Coturnix japonica: one gene and its partners. The protein of the gene in region 1 purifies or fractionates together with the protein of each later gene. This does not show direct contact. Links are inferred from orthologs where the notes say so. Each region holds a gene or a part of one and is shown on either strand. Other genes may lie near its edges.

Region 1 (6,595 bases):
GCAGTTATATTTCCAGTTATTTCATAAACATACTTTAGAGCCTGATGAAATAAATTGGTCGATAAACTTTCTCGTTAAATAACTCATTTAGTAAAACTCAATTACCTTTTGAGTTCTTAGAAACCTTCAGATTTTTAGACTTCCCCAAAACATCATTTAAGCTTCGAAGATTCTTTTGCTTCACACCCTGCACTGTAGTGCTGTCATTGCTCTGGCTTGAATGTAGAATTATTACTGAATCCTGGTAGAAAAGGAAACAAACTTAGAAAGGAAATGATTTTCCTCCTTCATTAGCAACACAATTTAGTGACAGGTATTGGGGAAACTTCTGCAAAGCCCAGAAGTTACCAAATACCATTTGAAGATTACTCTGTAATCGCTATCTACCTTATTTCATACTTAAAAGTGTTTCTACAAAACATTTTTAATGCTTAACAAAGTCACGAGAACTAGAGAATGATTTCCCCATAGAATACACAGGCTTACTTCATTTTCTTGTAACGTTTTCTTTTCAGCAAGAGCTTGCTGTCGAGATGAGCGCCTCACAGGAGCTGCTGAGTCCTCATTAACCTTTGATCTGTTGTGCTTTATAGCTTTTGCTTTTTCAACCAGCTGTTTTGCTTTGGACACGTTTTTAGAAGCAGAGCTTATCTATTGACAAAGTACAAAATAACCAAGATATCTAGCAATTAATAGCAATATCTTCACTAAGTGTTCCACATTATATTATCTCTAGTGTATGATTTCTAATTAACATTTGCTTGCATTGGGAAGAAAGTGAAACAATCAGAAGGAGAACACTAGGGGTAGTGGGAGCCCTACAGGGGACTGTCCTGGTCACCCACAGGACAAATGAGATCTGAGCAGTGATGTTGTTAAGCATCAGCTGTTCTGCTATGCCCAAATGCTACATCCCACCTCGAGAACTTGCCAAAGATGAGCATGCTATCCTATCTGATTTCTGTTGTTATATTCACACAAGCTGCTATTTGTAACAGTTTAAAGTCAACGGTACAGTAACTGTACAAGAAACTAGCTCAAATGCTATAGTAAATTCCAGTAATACTCTCTTTCAAGTGGACATTTGTGTACTACCATGCTTTACTGTATTAAACAATTTGAATGTTAACAATTATATGCATTTAGTAAATGACAACATACTGAAACACAAGCTGTTACATGAATTACCTTTTTATTTTTGGAGTTAAGCTCTTCATTATTCTTTGCTTCACTTTTATTTGATTTTATAGTTGCATTGATCCGTGTAAACCTCATTCTAATTAGGGAAAAGTGTTATAAAATCATTACTGTTTAATGAAAGGAATCGTAACTACAACTTACTCTTAAAATACTTGCAGGAAAACAAAACAAAATGCATAAAGCCAGAATATATTCCAACATGTTTACCTTATTGGGCTGTTCTCATCGGAGGGCACTGTAATCACCTCAGCCTTATACACGTTACTTTTCTTTAAGGACTGCCTGCTTGTTTTTGGTGTGGAAGTCTGTACAGGCCACACACTTTCATCTCCAGAAAAGTTCCTTCTAATTTTGTTCTTTTTGGGTGTAATAGTTTTGGATGTGTTGGTTTTCTTTTGCCTCAGACTCCTCCTCAACTCTTTCACTTTTGGACTAGATGAAATTATTACATCCAATTTACTTTCCTTCACCTGATCACAATCTACTGATTCTTTATCTTCGTTATAGTTGCTTGTACTTGAGATACATTTTTCCTTTGCTCCCAAAGCCTTGTTTCTTTTGCTTCCCTTCTTCTGAAACTTCCGCGGCCTCTTGTTTTTCGTTCTGGTGTTTCCAGGACTAGAACTCATGCATTTGTCTGCACCATCTTCTGGTAGCCCACCTTCTAATTCCGTATTTAAAACACTGTCACCCTCGGGTCCTTTCTTGTCTTTTGAAGTCCTCCCAATGACTTGCTTTGCTTTCCCAGGTGCCTTTTTAACTCCACTTTTTCTTACATCTGATGTTGGTTGCCTGAACGCTTTCATGAACTGATGCCTTTCTTCCAGAGTAGATTTCATCTTCAAAGAATCCGATCCTGCAGTCTCTAGTATCGCTAACTCCAGCTCCTCTTCCTCAATGACTACGTTAGATTTTCTTTTCAGGGTGAGCTGCTCAGTCTGCTCACTCTCCACAAGAGACGGGCTGCTTTCTTCTTCTACATATACTTTCTGCTTCAGAAAAATGGAAGCTATTTTCTTAGAACCTTTTTGCTCATTATGTAAAGAACCTGATTTGGGGGGAACGGAATGAACTTGTGCAAGAACAGTTACTGTTCTAAGCGGTAGCTGCTGAAATTCCTCACACTTTTCAGGGTCACTATTACTTCCACTTTTGTCCGTTTCATTGACAGTAACAGAACTGTCCAGCATTGGCTTTGTACCTTCAACATCCTCTACGTGATTTTCTCCTTGGCTTTTCAAGAAGTCCTCAAAGGACACTGTTATGATACTGTCATTTGCCTGAGATGTTTTATCATCTGTGAGTACTTCACAACTTGTGTCACTAATAACATCATCACATTCTGCTGCTTTAGGAGATTCCTTCTTTTTCTTACCTTTAGTTTCTTTCCTACACTTTTCATTCAGCTGGTTCTCAAATGAAAAACTCCCAGACGAATCCACATTTACTTTGTGCTTCCTTTTCCTTGTTTTTCTTATCCTATTTTTTGTTGCATTTATTTCAGAACCAACTTTCTCATCACTTTTAACACAGATGTCTGTATGTGAGAAATCCTCACCTTGCTTATGACCTTCAGCTAATTCCCCTCCACCTTTCCAGTCACCTAAAGCACACGTAGCTATGAAATCATCACTGTCTTCTTTTAGCCTTGTTGCTTCTATGCTGTCATCACAATCAATTTCTATTGTGCGTTCACTCTCCAACTCTTTCATTTCTCTTTGCTTATTATTTACACGAGTTCTCTTCCTTTTCCTCTTTGGCTTTGGAGATGCTATATAACAATCCAGGTCGTCACTGAATTCTGCTGTAATCTCCCCAGCTGCTGTTGCATGTTTCTCAGCTGCAGGCGTCTTCTTAAAGTAATCCAAGATGTTGTTGGCTTTTGGAGGCGATGACACTTTACCTCCTGCTTTCGCTAATGGTGAGAAATACCTCGTGATGGTTTTCACAGAGCCATCTTCCTCTCGCCGTTTCTTGCACGGCTACAATAAAAAGAGAGCTCTGTGTCAGCCTTGGCCATTAAAACCTTGAGCTGCGGTGTGCTGATATCAGGCACTTTGCGATACAAGTTTACACAGTGACATTTGTGCTCTTGTAAAAGACAATGAACTTATTGACGTGAGTCCCTGCTCACATCGCTCAGCGCCATCCTGCAGGAGCCGCCCCAGCTGGATTGGACAGGGGTGACGGTTCAGAACAGCGGGACATCGACATTCAAACCACCACCCAACGCCCGGGACCTCCAGCACCGAGCGGACCGTCAGCGCAGCCCATGGCCGGGAGCAGCGCGGCTGTTTCACCGCACACCGGGGGATCCTGGCGGTGCACCCGGCAACACCGGAGGGAAACGGCCCCGCCGGGCAGGGCGCGCAAAGAGCAACGAGAGCAACGAGCGCGACGCATCACGGAGCCGCAGCGCCGCCCGCTCCCGGGAACGCGGCTCATCCCGTTCGGCCACCGCCCCCACGATCGCACCGAGCCCCGCGGAGCCGCCCGTCCCGGCACATCCCGTCCCGGCACATCCCGTCCCGGCACACCCCGTCCCGGCACACCCCGTCCCGGCACACCCCGTCCCGCCGCACACCTGCAGGTCGCCGTCCCTCCCGGACTCAGCCGAGGCGCTGCCCGCCGCACGCCCCGCACGCACCATGCCCAGCCCAGCCCGGCCCGTCCCGGCAGCGCGGGTCGCTCAGACGCGCCGTGAGTCGCGCGGTGGCGCCATGTCCGGTCCCGCCGCACGGAGCGAGTGACTGACAGGGGAAAAGCGCGCGGAACGATTCGGAGCTGCGCGCGGAACGGGGCGGCGCTACAACACCCACGTGACCCGCTCGCTCCGCCAACCGCCACGCGCGTTTTGCCATCACGTGATCCCGGCGGTTGGCGCCCCGCCCTCGAATCTCCGGTCACGTGACGGGTTGACGCTCCTCCCGCCGCCGCCGTCGGGCGGGTTTTGGCGCCGCGGGGTGTGACGTCACGTGCCGCCCCGCGCAGTGCGGCCTGTCCGGGCCCCGCCCGCGGCTGCACATGGCGGAACAGGCCGAGCTGCGGCTGCTGCTGCTGCAGGACGCTCGGGAGAGCATCGAGGCGGCGCGCAGCTACCGGCGGGAACTGCAGCAACGGCTGCGGGGGCTGCAACAGGCCAGGACACAGGTGGGGGAACGGAGCGGAGCGACGGGACGGGACGGGATGAGCGGGCGGGGGCGCGGCCACAGGGTGGGACGTTATTGGGCTGCGGGGCGGGGGGAGACGGGACGACACGGGATGTGTGCGGGGATACCGGACCTGTGCGGCTCTGAGCAGCTCCGTGTAGTTGTGTGCAGCTCCGTGTAGCTCTATGCAGCTCTGTGTACCCCGTGCTGGTTCCCCTATAGGCGCTGGGTGCTCTGCGCTGAGCAGCAGTTCTGTCAGCACGGACCGCTTTCCCCTCGCTTCCTTTTTCTCTGGGGCTGACAGTCGGGCAGCCGAGCTGTGCGGTGTTACGGCTTGAACAGGAAATGCGCCTCGCAGAACCAGAGCTTCCTGCGCCGGCTGCAGGGCTGCGGTTGTTGTGCCGTGCAGTTGTTGTTGTGCCGTGCAGTTGTTGTGCAGTTGTTGTGCCGTGCGGTTGTTGTGCGGTTGTTGTGCCGTGCAGTGCACAGTGCAGCGTTTCCTCATCTGCACGGGGTAGAAGCGCTCAGAGGAAGATGTTCTGTTGTGGTTTTGTACCCTTAGTTCAGGGCTGCACAAATGCGTTTGTCTCCCTAAAATCCCGTTTGCCAGCACAGCGATGAATGTGCGTAGGAACTTCAGCTCTGCTTCTTCCCAAACCCAGCCCGACCTGCTGCACCCACCATCACCCCGCAGCACCCACACGGTTCTGTTTGAAAAGAGCTTTGGTGGGACTTCAAACACCCAGTGAAGGGCCGGGCTCCATGGAGAGCTGTGTGTTCCTTCATGCAGTTACCAGGAGGGACTTTCAGACTTTTCTGACCAGATTCTTTGGCTGCAGTAGCATTAACCCGATCTGCACGTAGCTCAAACCTCAGCAGTTGATCTTGATGTGCTCAGCTCGTTGCCCTTCCCTTGTCCAGACTCGTTTCCCAGCCTCCTCCCCTCTGTGCCTGCACTGTTCATAACACACCCTGTTACTCGCTGCTTGTGGCCCCTTTTTAAAGCTGACTTCACAGACATTTTCCTTTGCAGACACAGTAGCTCAGACATACGAGATGTGAGCGGTCTTTGCCCTTGTCCTGAATCCTTCTTTTTACCTGAATTTAGATCAGAGAAAGTGCAACCTTGACCAGAGATGTACTCGAGCAACATTTTAATGATTTAAAAGGGACCCTAAAGAAGCTGTTGGATGAGCGACTGTTGTCACTGCTGCAGGAAGTGGATGCTATAGAACAAGAGAGCATCAAACCACTGGACGAATGCCAGAAGCTGATAGAGCACGGAGTCAGCACGGCTGATGATCTGCTCCGGGAAGGTAAGGCAGGACCCGGGCTAAGTCTTAGTGCTGCCTCCCAGCGTGTCTTCTCTCAAAGTCAGGAGTGTTCCTGTCACAGTGTGTTTGGCTTGTCCTGCATTCCTGTCAAATGAAATGTTAGAAAGAGATTAAACTTGGGTAGGCTCATGAGATGTCACCTTCTGTTTTAATTTCACTCCGTTCCTGGGCTGTTGCCCCCTCTTAAGGACTGAGAATATCTGCTTTTGGGCACAGACCTTGTTTGCAGGAGCATCCTGCAGCCTGCCGCTCTGGAATGAACGCATCACACTGCTTTGAAACAAAATACATCTTGGGAACCAAAATGACAAGTTGTCTCTGGTCTCATTCAATTAACAACTGGCTCCAGTAGAATTTCCACTGAGAAAAAATGTCAGTCCTCTGTGAGGATAAACTTTGTCTGTTGTGGACCAATAGTTCTTAATAGTTCTGTTCCAAGTTTGCACCGTGCTGATGCTGATCACCTGGCCAGAAAGGAATAACACTGCTGACTGCTCTGCCTGCATTGCAGAACCTACTGGGAGCATGACGGTGTTGGCAGTTTCCTTGCATTGTTCTCATGTCTCAGCTTAAATTTTCTTTAAAAAATGAGCAGAGATGTGAATCAGAAAGGAGTTAATCCTGCACGTTTATTAAATCTCTTGCTGCCAATTATGACCTTTGTGTTTCGTTAGAGATTTGCAATGTTTGTAATCCTCCATTTGGAATCCAAGCGAGCTTGCTCGCGTTGTAAATTACCATACAGTCAGCACATGGATCTTACATCCCTGCAAGCTGAAGTGTGGGACACTACTTTATATGGAAAGCCCATGGTGAGGTTTCTGTTCATCTCCACACTTCAATCCATGGATTACTTCATGCGTTATGACAATACTGACCTTATTTTGTAGCAAAGAGAACAATGGTAGAAAT
Region 2 (6,542 bases), on another chromosome or scaffold:
GCTGCCTCAATAAACACAGAGCACTGTTATTATGTGTCCTTATATGCTGTGAGCAGCGTGGAAGAAACAGCTAAATCTCCAGATCTGGTCAGTGGGGGTGGTCAACCAGAGGCACACAATTAGAAGACACGATTGTTGCTTATACTGATGCAACACAGTTCCAGCTTACCCAAAGAGCTCTCTGGCAGCTGCTAAAATAGTGGAGGTCTTTCCAGTTCCAGGCGGGCCATAGAACAGCAGATTGGGAAGCTGCAACAGTAAGGCAGCGTTTAGAACAGCAATAATATAAACCTCTCTGTCTGACTTATTTTTGGCTCACGTTCTATTTCTAAAGATTCAACTGAAGTTAAAGAGCTTTATGCTGAATATAGCGAGCAACACAGACAGAATCAGAGCAGCAAAGCCAAAGGCATCTAAAGAGCAGAGTGAAATGCAGGGGTGTGTGATCCACAGTCAGAAAATGAAACGGGGGCAGATCTCTTCGGCAACAAATATTCCATCTTAAAAAGGTAAGACAGAACAAACACCACTGAGTATGTGCTGGAAAAGTACGGATGGCAGAACGTCATTATTTTATTATTAAAAACACATTTTGAGTTTCCCTGCTCTTTCTGCCAATCAGTTGTTGCCTGGTTCCCTGGTTAATGAAAAGTAAACAGTACTCAATACAAACACGAGGCTTTCCAAGTTTAATTAAACCCCACAGCGTTATTGTCTCCCTGTGCAGTTTTAGAAATCTCCGTGGAGAGGAAATGCTTCTGAAATGACAATAGAAAATTCACCACCAGCCATGTTAGTCAGCACGCTGCACCAGCAGACATTTTGTGGATTCAAGACTCATAATTTCATGGCTCTGTGCTGATTCACACTCTAACTCTCAAAAGAAACATTCACAGCTTAAAAGCTTTAACAGGAATCGGTGTTTCTGAATTCATTAAATCCATGCTTCAACTACTACTTTAGCTTCAACCCCTTTTATGCTCGTTTCTCGCTGAGGTTATCACAGTATTTACATTGCTTTGTCAACAAGCACAGCCTCATCCTTCATGTAACTCTGCAGCACTAATTTTAACAGACTGAAAGCTGAGCTGGTTAACCCTTGCTCCAACCTCGCAGGGGGAAGGCAGGATACCTGCAGGCACTGCCTGCTCATGGGAAACACCACAAGCAGGAGAAGCCCCAGGTGCCTCTCTACAAGTTTCACTGCAGGTAAGGATGTAAACCGGAATTATAGTCTTACTCTTAATTCTCTGGGTTCTCAGTCAGTAAAATGCTACCTAATAACTGGAACATTAAAGAATAGCATAACATAAGTCAGTTTCTCTAAAAAAAAGCAACAACAGCCCTGGCAGGCAGAAATCAATTTCTCCAGCTCAAAAACCACCCAGACTCTGATCTTTCCAATTTATAACAAGAGAAATGCTTGCTATTTTAGACTGAGATGTACTGTGGTTTTAGAAATCCTGCCCTATTTAGCAGCTTCAAAACCAAGGCCCACAAATACTTAAAAGCAATTCAACAGAGGACTAACTTTCCATTTGCAGCAGTAAGGTTTAAATACAGCACATGACACAAGCTTAGCACATTGTCACAGCTGTTTCTTTGATCCCATCAGATCACCAGACTCAATAAGAACTCCTGAAACAGAGTCAGCCACTCAGAGTTTAAATTACACTTTTGCCTTTTTGACAGAATGAGTCCTCCCAAAAAGTAACAAAAATCTTCCAATTTTGAAAGCATCAAATACTTGAACAACTCTCAGTTTTGTTCTCAAATGGTTTGCTGAGCTTTGGTACCTACAGTAACATACGAAGCCTGTAACCACCATACAGACGAGTTCTGATTTGCTTTTTTTCCAACTCAGGAGGCAAAAAGTCAGCACGAGGCTCATGATCTGACAGACGTGGCTGATCCAGAAGTGAAGGGTTTTAAATAGCTGATGCTCAAAATAGAACTTGACAACCCGTCACCTAAACAACACTGCAAGACTGACATGCCCAGATAGATGGCAGAACTCAGTTCTCTTCAGCCATGAACAGTTCCTCACTAATTTCTAGAACCAGACAAAATAGTAGAATACAACAGCATTGCTGTTAAGACCTGGATTTTTGAGGATACAGTAGTACACAGTAAGGTCATAACTGTGTTCTTAAAATAAACTGAATCTGAAGACACAAACTAAATAAATTACACGAGTCTTTCCCAGTTCTGTCATACTAGCTCTATTTTAACTCCCCATACTAAAATACAAAATACTTTAGCTTTTGCACGTTCCGATTAAATGAATATTTTCAGATCTATATAGCCTCAAACTAATCAAAACAAGAATAAATTGTTTCAGTGTAAAAGTTCCAAACAACGATGGACACACAATGCACATCAGAGTGCACAACAAGTGAAAGGCTTCCTCCGCAACTCTCTGTAAAGCCTGACCTGGTTTTTATAGCTCTCAGTGAACAGATACCCACATCACAACTGCTGCTCTTGGAACATCCGTACCAGCCAGCATTAGCCGTCCATAGAAACAGAACACCCCCTCTAGGTGAAATATGGAGCTAAAGGAGTGTCAGCATGAATGTAAGGAAGGGGTTTTTCACATTTGGAAAGGAAGAGGAATGAAGAAATAAAACAAGAAACATGTTTAGCAGTTTCTTAAAAGCACCAGTAAATCACTACAACTGATGAGCAACAATAACTGGCAATTTAGGTTTTTCTATGAAAAGTTTCCCCTCTACTCTTTGTCATAAGCACCAGAAGCATCAGCTGAACAGCAGCATCTCGAAAACAAAAGCTCCTCCAGCACTGAAATTATTAACAGCGAGTTCACCAGTTCAGATTTCCCAGAATAAATTCCAATGTGTCACAGAGCTGAGAGTTCACAGTGCTCAGAGAGCTGGACACATCAGGTACTGCAGGGCTTATCAGGTGCCATTGGAAATCACTTGGTTAGCCTGGAGAAACAGCCACAGCCAAGCCAGAAAGGGAAGCTCTCCCCACCGCTGCCTGCACGTTGCTGTGCTCAGGCAGCTGTTAGTGCAGCACTCACATCAGCACCTTCCAGGGACTTTTTCAACACAGCAACAACTTCATCCTGGAAGGCGACTTCATCCACGTTTTTGGGGCGACTAAAGAGAAAGACATCAAACGCAGTTTGATTACCAAACAGTTTCAGCAAGAATGTGAATTAAGACAGCATTTCCCTTCCCAAATACATCCATTCTATAGAGCTACACTAACTCCTGCAGCTGAGGCCACAATCCCAACAGGAACTGAGCCAGACGCCTCCCCGCGGTGACTGACAGCTCAGGAAGCCGTCAGTGCTAACCATTGCTGGCCATTGCTGGCCATAGCTGGCCATTGCTGGCCATAGCTGGCCATTGCTGGCCATAGCTGACCATTGCTGGCCATTGCTGGCCAGAGCTGACCAGAGCTGACCATTACTAACCAGAACTGACCAGAACTACCCATAACCAACCATTACTAACCATAACCACGGCCCTGCGCTCATTCCTGGAGCACATCTGCCAACACCCCCAGCTGTGACCCCCCCCCAGTCCAACAGGCCCTTACTATTTCTCCACCCAGGGGACGGGTTTGAGCTTCTTGCCTTCCCCGCTGCTCCCCGCCGCGCTCCTCTCCTTGTTGGCAGTAGGTTTGTTGCTGATGGAGGCCGGGCCTTTCAGGAAGGCCTGCATGGCTGTGACTGTGGCTGTGGCTCCGTCCTTCCCCTCAGCTCGGCCGTTAATCCCGGCTCACCACACAGCGCACAACAACCCCTCACCAACTTCCCGCCAAGCCGCCCGTCACTCAAGGCGACGCAAGCCACTTCCGCCTGCTGAGAGCCAATCACAGCGCTCCCCCCGGCGGAGTGGGCGGGCCCTTCGGCAGTGCTGAGCATGCGTGAGGATCGTGAGGTGATGGGGAGGGGCGCCATGTTGGCACCTCCCCTCGGGGTCGGATGGGCGGCTGCTGGTTGTTGTAGCCCGTAGCAATGCAGCCTCTCCTGCAAAAAAAAGATTGAAAAAAAGAGGAACCACGAAGCCGGAGTCTGCCCCAGTGCCCTCCCTGTGCCGTGCCTCGCTGCCCCCAGGTGAACGAAGCAGGGCTTATATGTGCCAAAGTTACCTGTTACAAGGGAACCTTTCCTTCATATTCAATTCCCATTAAAGCAAAAGAAGAAGAAAAGGATTTGAAATGAGGGGTGTGACTGATGGAACAGGCCCCATTACAGGACTACAAAGCATCCCAGCAGATCCAGCAGTCACGATGCCCATGTTATCATGCACCAGGTATCTACGTCATATCCTCACACTTTGTGGCAATTTCTTGCATAAAAAGTAAAGCAGATCTGCTGCCTGCAGCAGCACGTTGTGTACTTGTAGCTGTTCTGCTCTATTCTTTCCCTTTGGCTGCCCCCAAGCAAACGCATGGCCATAGTGACCTGGGCAGCTGCGGAGGGGATCATCCTGAACAGAACCTGTGCAAAGGGGAAGAATGAATTGGAAAGGGTCTCTATGGCAACAGACATTGGGAAAGGAGGAACAGGAAAGAATTGAGGCTGGAAATACATCATTCTATTGGCAAGACGAGCCTGTAATCTGTGCTCAGGCAATTTTAAATAAGCTTTCCATTCATCTAGCGTTCTATTATTGAAACATGAAAATGCCTTGGCAGCAAGAGATGCCCATATGCATCATTTCTGAAGTTGCCCTGTTCCTGATGAAAATGCAGTGCTGCTTTTTTTCTCACTATGATTATATTTGATACTTCCGAGTAGTGATGACTTGGAAATGGTAAGGATGCATAAGCAGATGGAATGGATTAGTATTCATCCTGAAGCTGTAAAAGGCTTTGTTATATTTCAGAGCTTCCTTCTATTTTGTGGTCTCACTTCTGTCCTCTCCTTAAAGGGCCACTTCAACTATTCTTAGTGTTTGAACTTCTCATCACCTCTGTCTGAGCCTCACATTCAGCTCATCGAAGGAACCTCCTGGCTGCTAGATGAAATACATTAACATGAAGAACATGGATGTTCTTCATAACAGAACATTTCAAACATGGATGTTCTTCATAACAGAACATTTCATTTCATTACCTTAGCAAATACAGCATATTCCAGAAAGAAAGAAGTGAACTCAAGCTGCAGGTTCTTTTTCTCTCTCATGGTTTTTCTCTCCCTCCAGTGAATAAACACAAAGACTGAATACTACGCTTGCTCAGTTCCACATTCATTTACCATCTTAAGGTCCAATAGGCCAAACTGATGTTTACAGTGTTCCCCCATATGCTTTTTTCCAAGGCAGACAGTTCTTCTATTAGTGTCCCTCAACTGTGTTCCATGGTAACTTTCTACAGCCTAATGCACAGCAGAATTAGTTTATCTTTAAATCCTGATCATGAATTTGTTTTCTAAAGCACGTTAACATAATTGGTTTTGTATCCATAATAATACCAGTTATTAAAAAGCATTACAAATATTTGTGGTTTTTTTCCCTCTTGGGCTGTGACAGAAACATATTTAAGAATCTGACTTTTTTTTATCAGTCTTGCAGAGAGAGAACTGATCAGCAATGAGGTATGGGGAGGAGGTTGATTTGAGGTGGCCTTGACATTTTTCCTTTTTTAAGAATATTTATAACACATTTAGTTAATAAATAAAACTCCTTAAGACTATTTTGATTTATAAAGGCATAAAACACCCAGTGTGTTTGCAGCGCATTAGTATTTAAAACCTGTAATGCCCCAGTAGCAGATGTCTCATTACTAATAATGTTCACAAACAACCTTCTCTGTTCTCATCCTAACCAGATCCACCTCTGCACTGCTGTCTTCCAAATCCTTTGTCTCATTTCACCTCCAGTTGAAGCAGATCCATCAGCTCAGTGAGATGATCCAATACACTGCACTACTACGTCAGCAAACAGGAGGTAGGAGTAGGAACTCGTGGTGGGGTGAGTGGGGAGGTAAAGAATGAGCATTTGGGTTGCAGGGCATGTTTTTGGCACCTTGGACTCCTCTAAATGGGAAGCCTGTTCCCTTTCCTTCTTAGTCTTCTTTTGCTGGCATTTGCAGGTGTACACTCACCCAGTGTTGGGTTTTTTTTTTACACTGAATGTAGAGAAGTGGTTCCTTAAAGTGAACTACAAAACAAGACAGAAATTAATCAGCAATTAATCTGATCCTAAAAATCAGGATCACTGTCCAACAGCTCTGACTAAAATTCAGGTTTTGTTTTGAACACGGAAAGATGTTAGAAAGCGTTTAAAGAAACCAAGGCAGTATAAATAATTATATATTGATTTTATTAAAATATTAACAGCACTTATCTGATGAGTTTCAACATTTAAAGACTTCTGATAAAATTCTGTAAGCAGTACAAAGCAGACTGGTTTTCATAAACAAACAAGTTCAGAGCAGGATGGCACTAACAAGAAGAGGTCTGAACTGGCTTTTTGATTATCTTCTTTTAAATAAAGATACAGTAAGTAGGACAACATTTGGATCAGTTCAAGAAAGAGTGACTGAGGGAAACGATCACGATG
Region 3 (6,834 bases), on another chromosome or scaffold:
TTTCTACGACTTCTTTATCACTGAAAATTGCAACTTTCCATGTTTAATTTACCTCAGTTGTGATTAGTTCTTTGGGATGTTGGCCCAAATGTGGGTTTGTACACTCCAATATATCTTGTTACAATAGAAACACCTATTAAAAGCATTTTTCTACCATGATAGGTAGTTGTTAAAAAACAATACCTGGTGTATTGCTGCAGCATGCTGTGAAAAAAACACAAAGCAGATTTACACTAAGAAATCCTCATGGCTTACCTTGTGCTGATTGACACTCCATATCCTTATAATAGAGTCTCGGCCTGCAGTGAAGAGTCTATTTAATGCTGGATCCAGCTGAAGTGCATTTACTCCATTTCGGTTATACTTCTCCACCTCGTCTCTAATCACATAGGAGACCTAAAAGACATTTACACAGACCTGATTATGGTATTAAGATATTGAATTGGCCACAAAATACTACCATTTAATTTCATTTCAGTGAGGTTCTCAGGTAGAAAATACTAAGAGCTTTAAAAGCATTAAATGAGTCTGCTAGTTTGAAAGTTACCATCACTGCCCTCAGTCATTTACCTCCCCCTGAAAATTGGGAAGAGTCACAAAGATGTTAGCAGTGCTACATATGGAGCCCCAGGGATTATTTAATCCTTACAAATCAGGCTTAGACTGGGACAATCCTTAGTTCAATTCCCTGCTCTGCACAGAGATTCTGGATGATCCCAGACAACACAATGCATTCGTGTCTCATTTTTTTAAGCAGGTTTCATGGTTTCTAAAGCTGTGTGACAGTGTTTCCCAGCCTTATAGGGAGAAAACACCACCAGTAAGGATTACAAAGCACTGAAAGACAGCAGGTCCAAATTCTATCCCAGCAATAATACTATTACGACACTTGGAGAAAGGCAGAATTCTGTTGTAGTTTTTTCTTCTTTAAAGAACAACAAACTCCTTTCTAACATAATAAGCAGAAATATTCAGCCTTCCTCCAATTAGAGATTTCTTTCTTTCACTTTCAGTCCTTCTGCATCTGACAGTACAGTGTGTATTGCATACTTCATTGCTCTATTCAGAAACATCAAATGGAGATTTAAGGGGTCAAAATGCAAGGCTTACAACACTCTCTGCTATTACTTGTGCAGTAAGTGCAGCTATAAAGCACTACAGATGCTTCCAAGCCAACCCATTCACACCTTCTTTTTGTTGATGCACAGAGGAAGATGTCCCTGCAGCACTTCATCTGGCCTTGACCATTCCATGTCTATGCTGTTAATATGCCCATGCAGCCTGCCTAACTCAAAGAATGTTATGAACAAAGTCAAGGTCTAGCACATAAAGCAAAAGAGATGCCCAATGTCACACTGCTTTCCAATTTTCTGAATAAAAGCAATGGAAATATTCAGTTAAAATACTAAATGCAAGCTGTTCACCTCTTTACAAGCATTGTTTATATGTTGAGAGAACTGAGAAAATGAGAGTAAGTGTCTTGTTTCAGGGTTAATAAGTCTCTGATAGACTGAAGAGCAAATGGTAAATGCTGCTATCAGTTCATTCTTGATGGACTCTCTAAATCCCACTCCCAAACCTAATGACATCCTGAAGTCAGAGAGGACTCCATAGTATTATTGTTATTTGGTTTTAGATTGGAGCAATACTCAGTACAGAAATACAGTAACTATTAGGAAATATAGTATCAATACAATGAATACAGAGTATATATTCAAGTATGTGTACACAAACACATTGAATAATAGATACAACAGGTTACATTTCATCACATTTCAAACAAGGCAACCAAGAGCACATTGCACCTTGGCTCACTGCATCTATTCACAAAGCCAGCATCAAACACAAAGATGATGACAGACCCCACGTTGTGATATTGCCATTTGATGGTCCAGAAAGGGCAAGATGGGCTATAAGATACTTTAATAATGACCAATGCTTTTTACATTAATGTTGTTGTAGCATTTATAAACTCCTGTAACAAATAGCAACGCTTCACTGCAGTAAACACTGTCTAAATATTACAGAATCACAGAATGACCCAGGTAGGAAGGGACCTCAAGTATCATGTAGTTCCAACCCCCCTGCCTGGCAGGGCCACCAAACATACACACTTACTAGATCAGGTTGCCCAGGGCCCCGTCCAACCTGGCCTTGAACACCTCCAAGGACGGGGCATCCACAACCTCCCTGGGCAGCCTGTTCCAGGGCCTAACCACTCTCCCAGTGAAGAACTTCCCCCTAACATCCAACCTAAATCTTCCCTCTTTTAACTTAAAACCATTTCCCCTAGTCCTGCTATTATCAGCCCTTTCGAAGAGTTTACTCCCCTCCTGGGTGTAAGTTCCCTTCAGGTATTGAAAGGCTGCAATGAGGTCACCCCGCAACCTTCTCTTCTCTAGGCTGAACAAACCCAACTCCCTCAGCCTGTCCTCATAGGGAATATTACAGAGATAAACCCTCATTATAAAGAATTTATGAGACTTAGTATCTTAAACGGATCAGGACTAGCCATTTCAGTGACTAAGAGCACCAGAGATATAGGTAATACCAACAAAAACATGTTGAAGAATGCACACCAGCTGAAAAATGGCCTCATCTTGAATTAATTCACAGTACCACATCTGAAAGCCGTAGCACAAAGCCAACTGATTCCCATCACACAGTGATGTTTACTACTCCCAAACCCACACATCTCCATTCCACCCCTAGTGAAGGGGACCTTACTATTGGAACACTGACACAATTCACATGAGTGCCTCACGTTTAATTATACTTCTTACCTTTATGCTCAGAATTCACTTTAAGGTCTGAAACTCCTATCCTGATTAAACCCTTATGCAATATACAATTATATGCAGAAGCATCCTACACAGTTTTGAATGGTTCTACTGACCAGTAAAACAGGTGCAACAGAGACAACAACAGCTCAAACTTGCATAAATATTAACCAGCTCCCATGTCTTGTAAAGAATCAGGATCCTCCACAACTGATGGGCATTCTTCTACAGAGTCTTCCCCTTGCACTATAGATTTTGGAGAAATCTCTATTAATTGATGCAGAAACATATTAAATGCTCAGCCATCAGGAAGCAAAATAAACTGTTAATGGTTTTTACTTTCTACCAACAGCTGATGGATGCAAGAGCCACTGAGAAGTCCATTATTTGGCCAAAACCCTGAATTTAACCAAGTAAGTGAAGTAATAGGACTACAATAAAATACCTACTTTGTACTTAATACTTTGTATGTGCTTATAATATAATCAAAGTTATTCTCTGTTGATCACTTAGTGTACACTGGCTGAAGCCTGGATCATCACAGCAGGATAAGGAGAAGCAAAAAGCATCAAGTAACACAGTGACAACAGATCACCAAATAAATAAATACAAAATCTCCTTCCTTGGGAGGCCAATCTTCAAGAACTTGCATACGGTGCAGACGATGCAAAAGGGCACAGGAATTCTTTATGCAGCACTGACCAAGTGCTTCTTTGACTATAAGAACTGCTATAAGCTATAAACATTTCCTCTATGGGACAGAATAGAAAAGGTGCCTTAAGACACAGCACCCATCTCTGTTTGGAAGGATGCTGAGACTATTGCAAGCTAAATCGGTATATATATAAATATAATGGTTAAAAACAGCTGAAACTTGCACTTACCACCAGAGGTACACATAAAACATACATTTTGCTATGGGAAAGGAGTAAAGCTATTAAAGGTGCTGATACTATCCCAAAACATCACAATACATCTATTTTCCTGACTTTTACCATTCACTATCACAGCCTGACTGTTCTGCGGCCTTGCATTCAGAACAGCAGCCCGGAGCCGGGCGGGTGGCTCAATGTAGCTCAGTATCGTTTCCCTTAAGCCGATGAAGCCGTTTCCCTTCTCTCCTTTAGCCAGTCCTCGTAGTTTCCAGAGCCTCCCACACGGAGCAACGCAGAGACCCCTCCCCAGCAACCACCGCCCCCCTCCCATAGCCCAGCCATCCCCGACCGTCCTCCTGAGGGCGGCCTACACGTATGTAGCCCACCCCAAAGCCCTGCTGCTCCTCACAGCCGAACCCCGCCGTGCACCCACCTGCACTTTCCGCCGCCCCGCCGTGTTCTGCCGGTGATGCGCCGCCATCTTGCATGTTGACACTGTGATGTCACTTCCGAGGAGTGACGTTCCGGAAGTCCCACCCCCACTCTCAGCCCCCAAAGCCCTTATAAAGCAGAAACAAGATGGCTGACGTTCATTGAGGCGTTGCTAGGCAACTGACAAGGGGGCTGGGCCAGAGCTCCCTCTCAGTAATAGCCCCAGTAATGGCGGCTCGCCATTTTATGTATTGGAGTTGCCACGATTCAAGTACAGTACCTTGCACTTGGCCACGTTGAACCTCATTAGGTTTACATGGGCCCATTTTTCAAGCCTGTCCAGGTTTCCTCTGGATGAAAGCCATTTTATATGAGTGTACTGGTGAGGCTTCATCTGGAATATTGTGTCCAGTTCTGGGCTCCCCAGTACAAAAAAAGACAGGGATCTCTTGGAAAGAGTCCAGCGGAGGGCTACTAAGATTGTGAAGGGCCTGGAGCATCTCCCCTATGAGGAGAGACTTAGGGAACTGGGTCTGTTTAGCCTTGAGAAAAGAAGGCTGTGCATAGGGATATTACCTTGGGGGGTTTGCTTTGGTATTGATTATTTCATTTACTTCAAAACAGTAATGGTGACTGGACGAGGTGATTGGTGAAATGCACAGTAGATCAATAATCCTAGCGAGAAACATTTTTACAGTGACAAAAAATGGGTAAAGAAATAAGTAAAAAATATATAGTCACATATTCACATTCCTGCTGATTGCAGCCATGCTCACTGGCTACTCATTAATGCTAATATAAGCTTATTTTGATAAGAATTGCGTTTTCCAGCATTGCTGACTGCAGTGTCTTCCCTGCAATTGCAAGCAGATGGTATTGTTCTTAAAAGACATCTGCCTTGGCCAAAACTCTTCCTTAGCAGCCATATTTTCACTATTTTCTGTTATTACAACAGTGCAGAGCATATGATTTAAAGCATCTAGGACAGGTATCACAAAGTTGCATTGCTTAACTCATTACATTTTTTTTTTAAGATAAAATTAAAGCTTTTTTTTTCACCACTCCCCCCTCCACACCTCAGATATTTATAGACCTGAATCTGGTCCCCTCTCAGTCTTCTTTTCTCAGGGCTAAACAGACCAAGTTCACTCAGCCTTTCTTCATAGGGGAGATGCTCCAGGCCCTTCACCATCTATGTGGTCCTCCGCTGTTTCTTCCTCTCTGCATGTCAACTGATTATATGTGGATAGTCCCTGCTATGCAGTGTTTCTTAAATCCTCTGACCAACAGCTCATTACTGAAAGGAGAACAAAAACATGCACGGTGCTCGTAGAACCTTTGAAGTTGGGAGAGACCTCTAGAGATTGTGTAGTCCATCAGAGGTTGTCTTTGCTGGAACACAAGAAGCATCATGTTGGCACAGGCTATAAGTTGCTGGTTTCTATGTGTCTGAGCTGCACTTTCAGCTTGTCATTCATTCTCATTCATCACAGACATGAAGCAAGGCTGGGCTGATACGGAGTCATGTGGACAAACTGCACACACACACACAGAAATATGGTAGATAAGGTTTTCTATGTGATGCACTGAATCTTTTAGCTTTTCACAATGACATTTTGAGAAAGTGATAAGATCATCAAATTTATAATGTTAACTGTTTGCTTGTGGCTTTGGAAGAGAAGGAACAATATTTGTAGATAAATCTAGGGATTATTTTTCAATTTCCCTAAAACTCTGATAATCTTGGCTGAATTGTGACCTTCTGAAAACACTGGTATGAGCAAATAGATGTTGAGCCAAAAAGGAGATGGGAGAGAACTGAGCAGGATTCAGGAGATAGGCCAGGGCATCGAGATAAGGAGAAAAGCAAATGGGTGCTTATTGGATAAGTAACGACTGCAATAAATAAAAAGATGAAGATGAAATTTCCTCAGTAATATTAGGGTCAAAAATACTATTACGTTTTCCAGCTTCTTCCCTCTGCTGTTCAAATCCCTCTTTGTGAGGTTTGGCTGCCACAGCATTTACAATAAAGGCCTTAAAAGAATTTAGATGGAAGATACAACTATGATTCGGAGCCTGTAGGAATTACAGGGAAAGGTTCAAATGTTTATTGGCTACAGCAGAGAATACGAAAGGAAACATTATAGCGGTTTTCAAATAATTGAGAAGAATATGGAATAAACTCATCTTCATGTCCGTGGTGAATGAGAAGTAATGGGCTGTAATTGCAGTTCAGGAGATTCATATGAGGCACAAGAAAAAACATTTCTTGGCAGTTGGAGTAGTGAAGCACTAGAATATGTGGTATATGGAGGGGCTGGAATCACCATCTATTGTAAGAAGAGACGAGGCAAATATCTCCAGGAATTACATCAATATCGCTGATGCTGTTTGAGGCTGAATCACGAACAAGGTGGCTTTAGGATATCACTTCCAGCCCCATTTTTTATTGTAATTATAGAAGTAGAGAATGTTTTTTATAAGCAAAAGGCTCTTTAATCCTGCAGGAAGTGCAGCAATAGATGATACAGTTGGGAGAAGAGCTACATAAAATCAAGCTGTGAAGAAAATATCGTTTTAAGACCAGCTAATCACTGAACAAATCCCCAGGGGACATGATAGATCTTATGTAGCTTGAAGCTTATTTAGAATTTATGGACATGATTCAGAGGAAACTGTTTGAAATTACTGTATTCAGTCTGTATTTGATGGGACGTGAAATTTGGTGATCTTAGGGCCTATTT

Evidence for each region.
Region 2: the proteins of ATAD5 (region 1) and RFC4 purify together in Homo sapiens (affinity purification with mass spectrometry; 5 studies listed by BioGRID and IntAct, counting the BioPlex papers as one, with this or other methods). This does not show direct contact. The link is inferred for Coturnix japonica from reciprocal best matches to the Homo sapiens genes ATAD5 and RFC4.
Region 3: the proteins of ATAD5 (region 1) and WDR48 purify together in Homo sapiens (affinity purification with western blotting; 3 studies listed by BioGRID). This does not show direct contact. The link is inferred for Coturnix japonica from reciprocal best matches to the Homo sapiens genes ATAD5 and WDR48.

The regions. Positions count from the first base shown.
Region 1 is NC_029533.1:7,478,949-7,485,543, forward strand, and holds the start of ATAD5 (ATPase family AAA domain-containing protein 5), read right to left. Parts: upstream 4,054-6,595; 5' UTR 3,851-4,053; coding exon 3,785-3,850; intron 3,183-3,784; coding exon 1,408-3,182; intron 1,277-1,407; coding exon 1,189-1,276; intron 652-1,188; coding exon 487-651; intron 242-486; coding exon 106-241; intron 1-105. Other genes in the region: CRLF3 (cytokine receptor-like factor 3), read left to right, coding at 4,225-4,350, 5,458-5,665. UniProt on the Homo sapiens protein: Has an important role in DNA replication and in maintaining genome integrity during replication stress.
Region 2 is NC_029524.1:14,221,473-14,228,014, forward strand, and holds the start of RFC4 (replication factor C subunit 4), read right to left. Parts: upstream 3,822-6,542; 5' UTR 3,696-3,821; coding exon 3,571-3,695; intron 3,126-3,570; coding exon 3,047-3,125; intron 250-3,046; coding exon 170-249; intron 1-169. UniProt on the Homo sapiens protein: Subunit of the replication factor C (RFC) complex which acts during elongation of primed DNA templates by DNA polymerases delta and epsilon, and is necessary for ATP-dependent loading of proliferating cell nuclear antigen (PCNA) onto primed DNA.
Region 3 is NC_029517.1:4,672,972-4,679,805, forward strand, and holds the start of WDR48 (WD repeat-containing protein 48), read right to left. Parts: upstream 4,203-6,834; 5' UTR 4,137-4,202; coding exon 4,089-4,136; intron 397-4,088; coding exon 256-396; intron 1-255. UniProt on the Homo sapiens protein: Regulator of deubiquitinating complexes, which acts as a strong activator of USP1, USP12 and USP46. Enhances the USP1-mediated deubiquitination of FANCD2; USP1 being almost inactive by itself.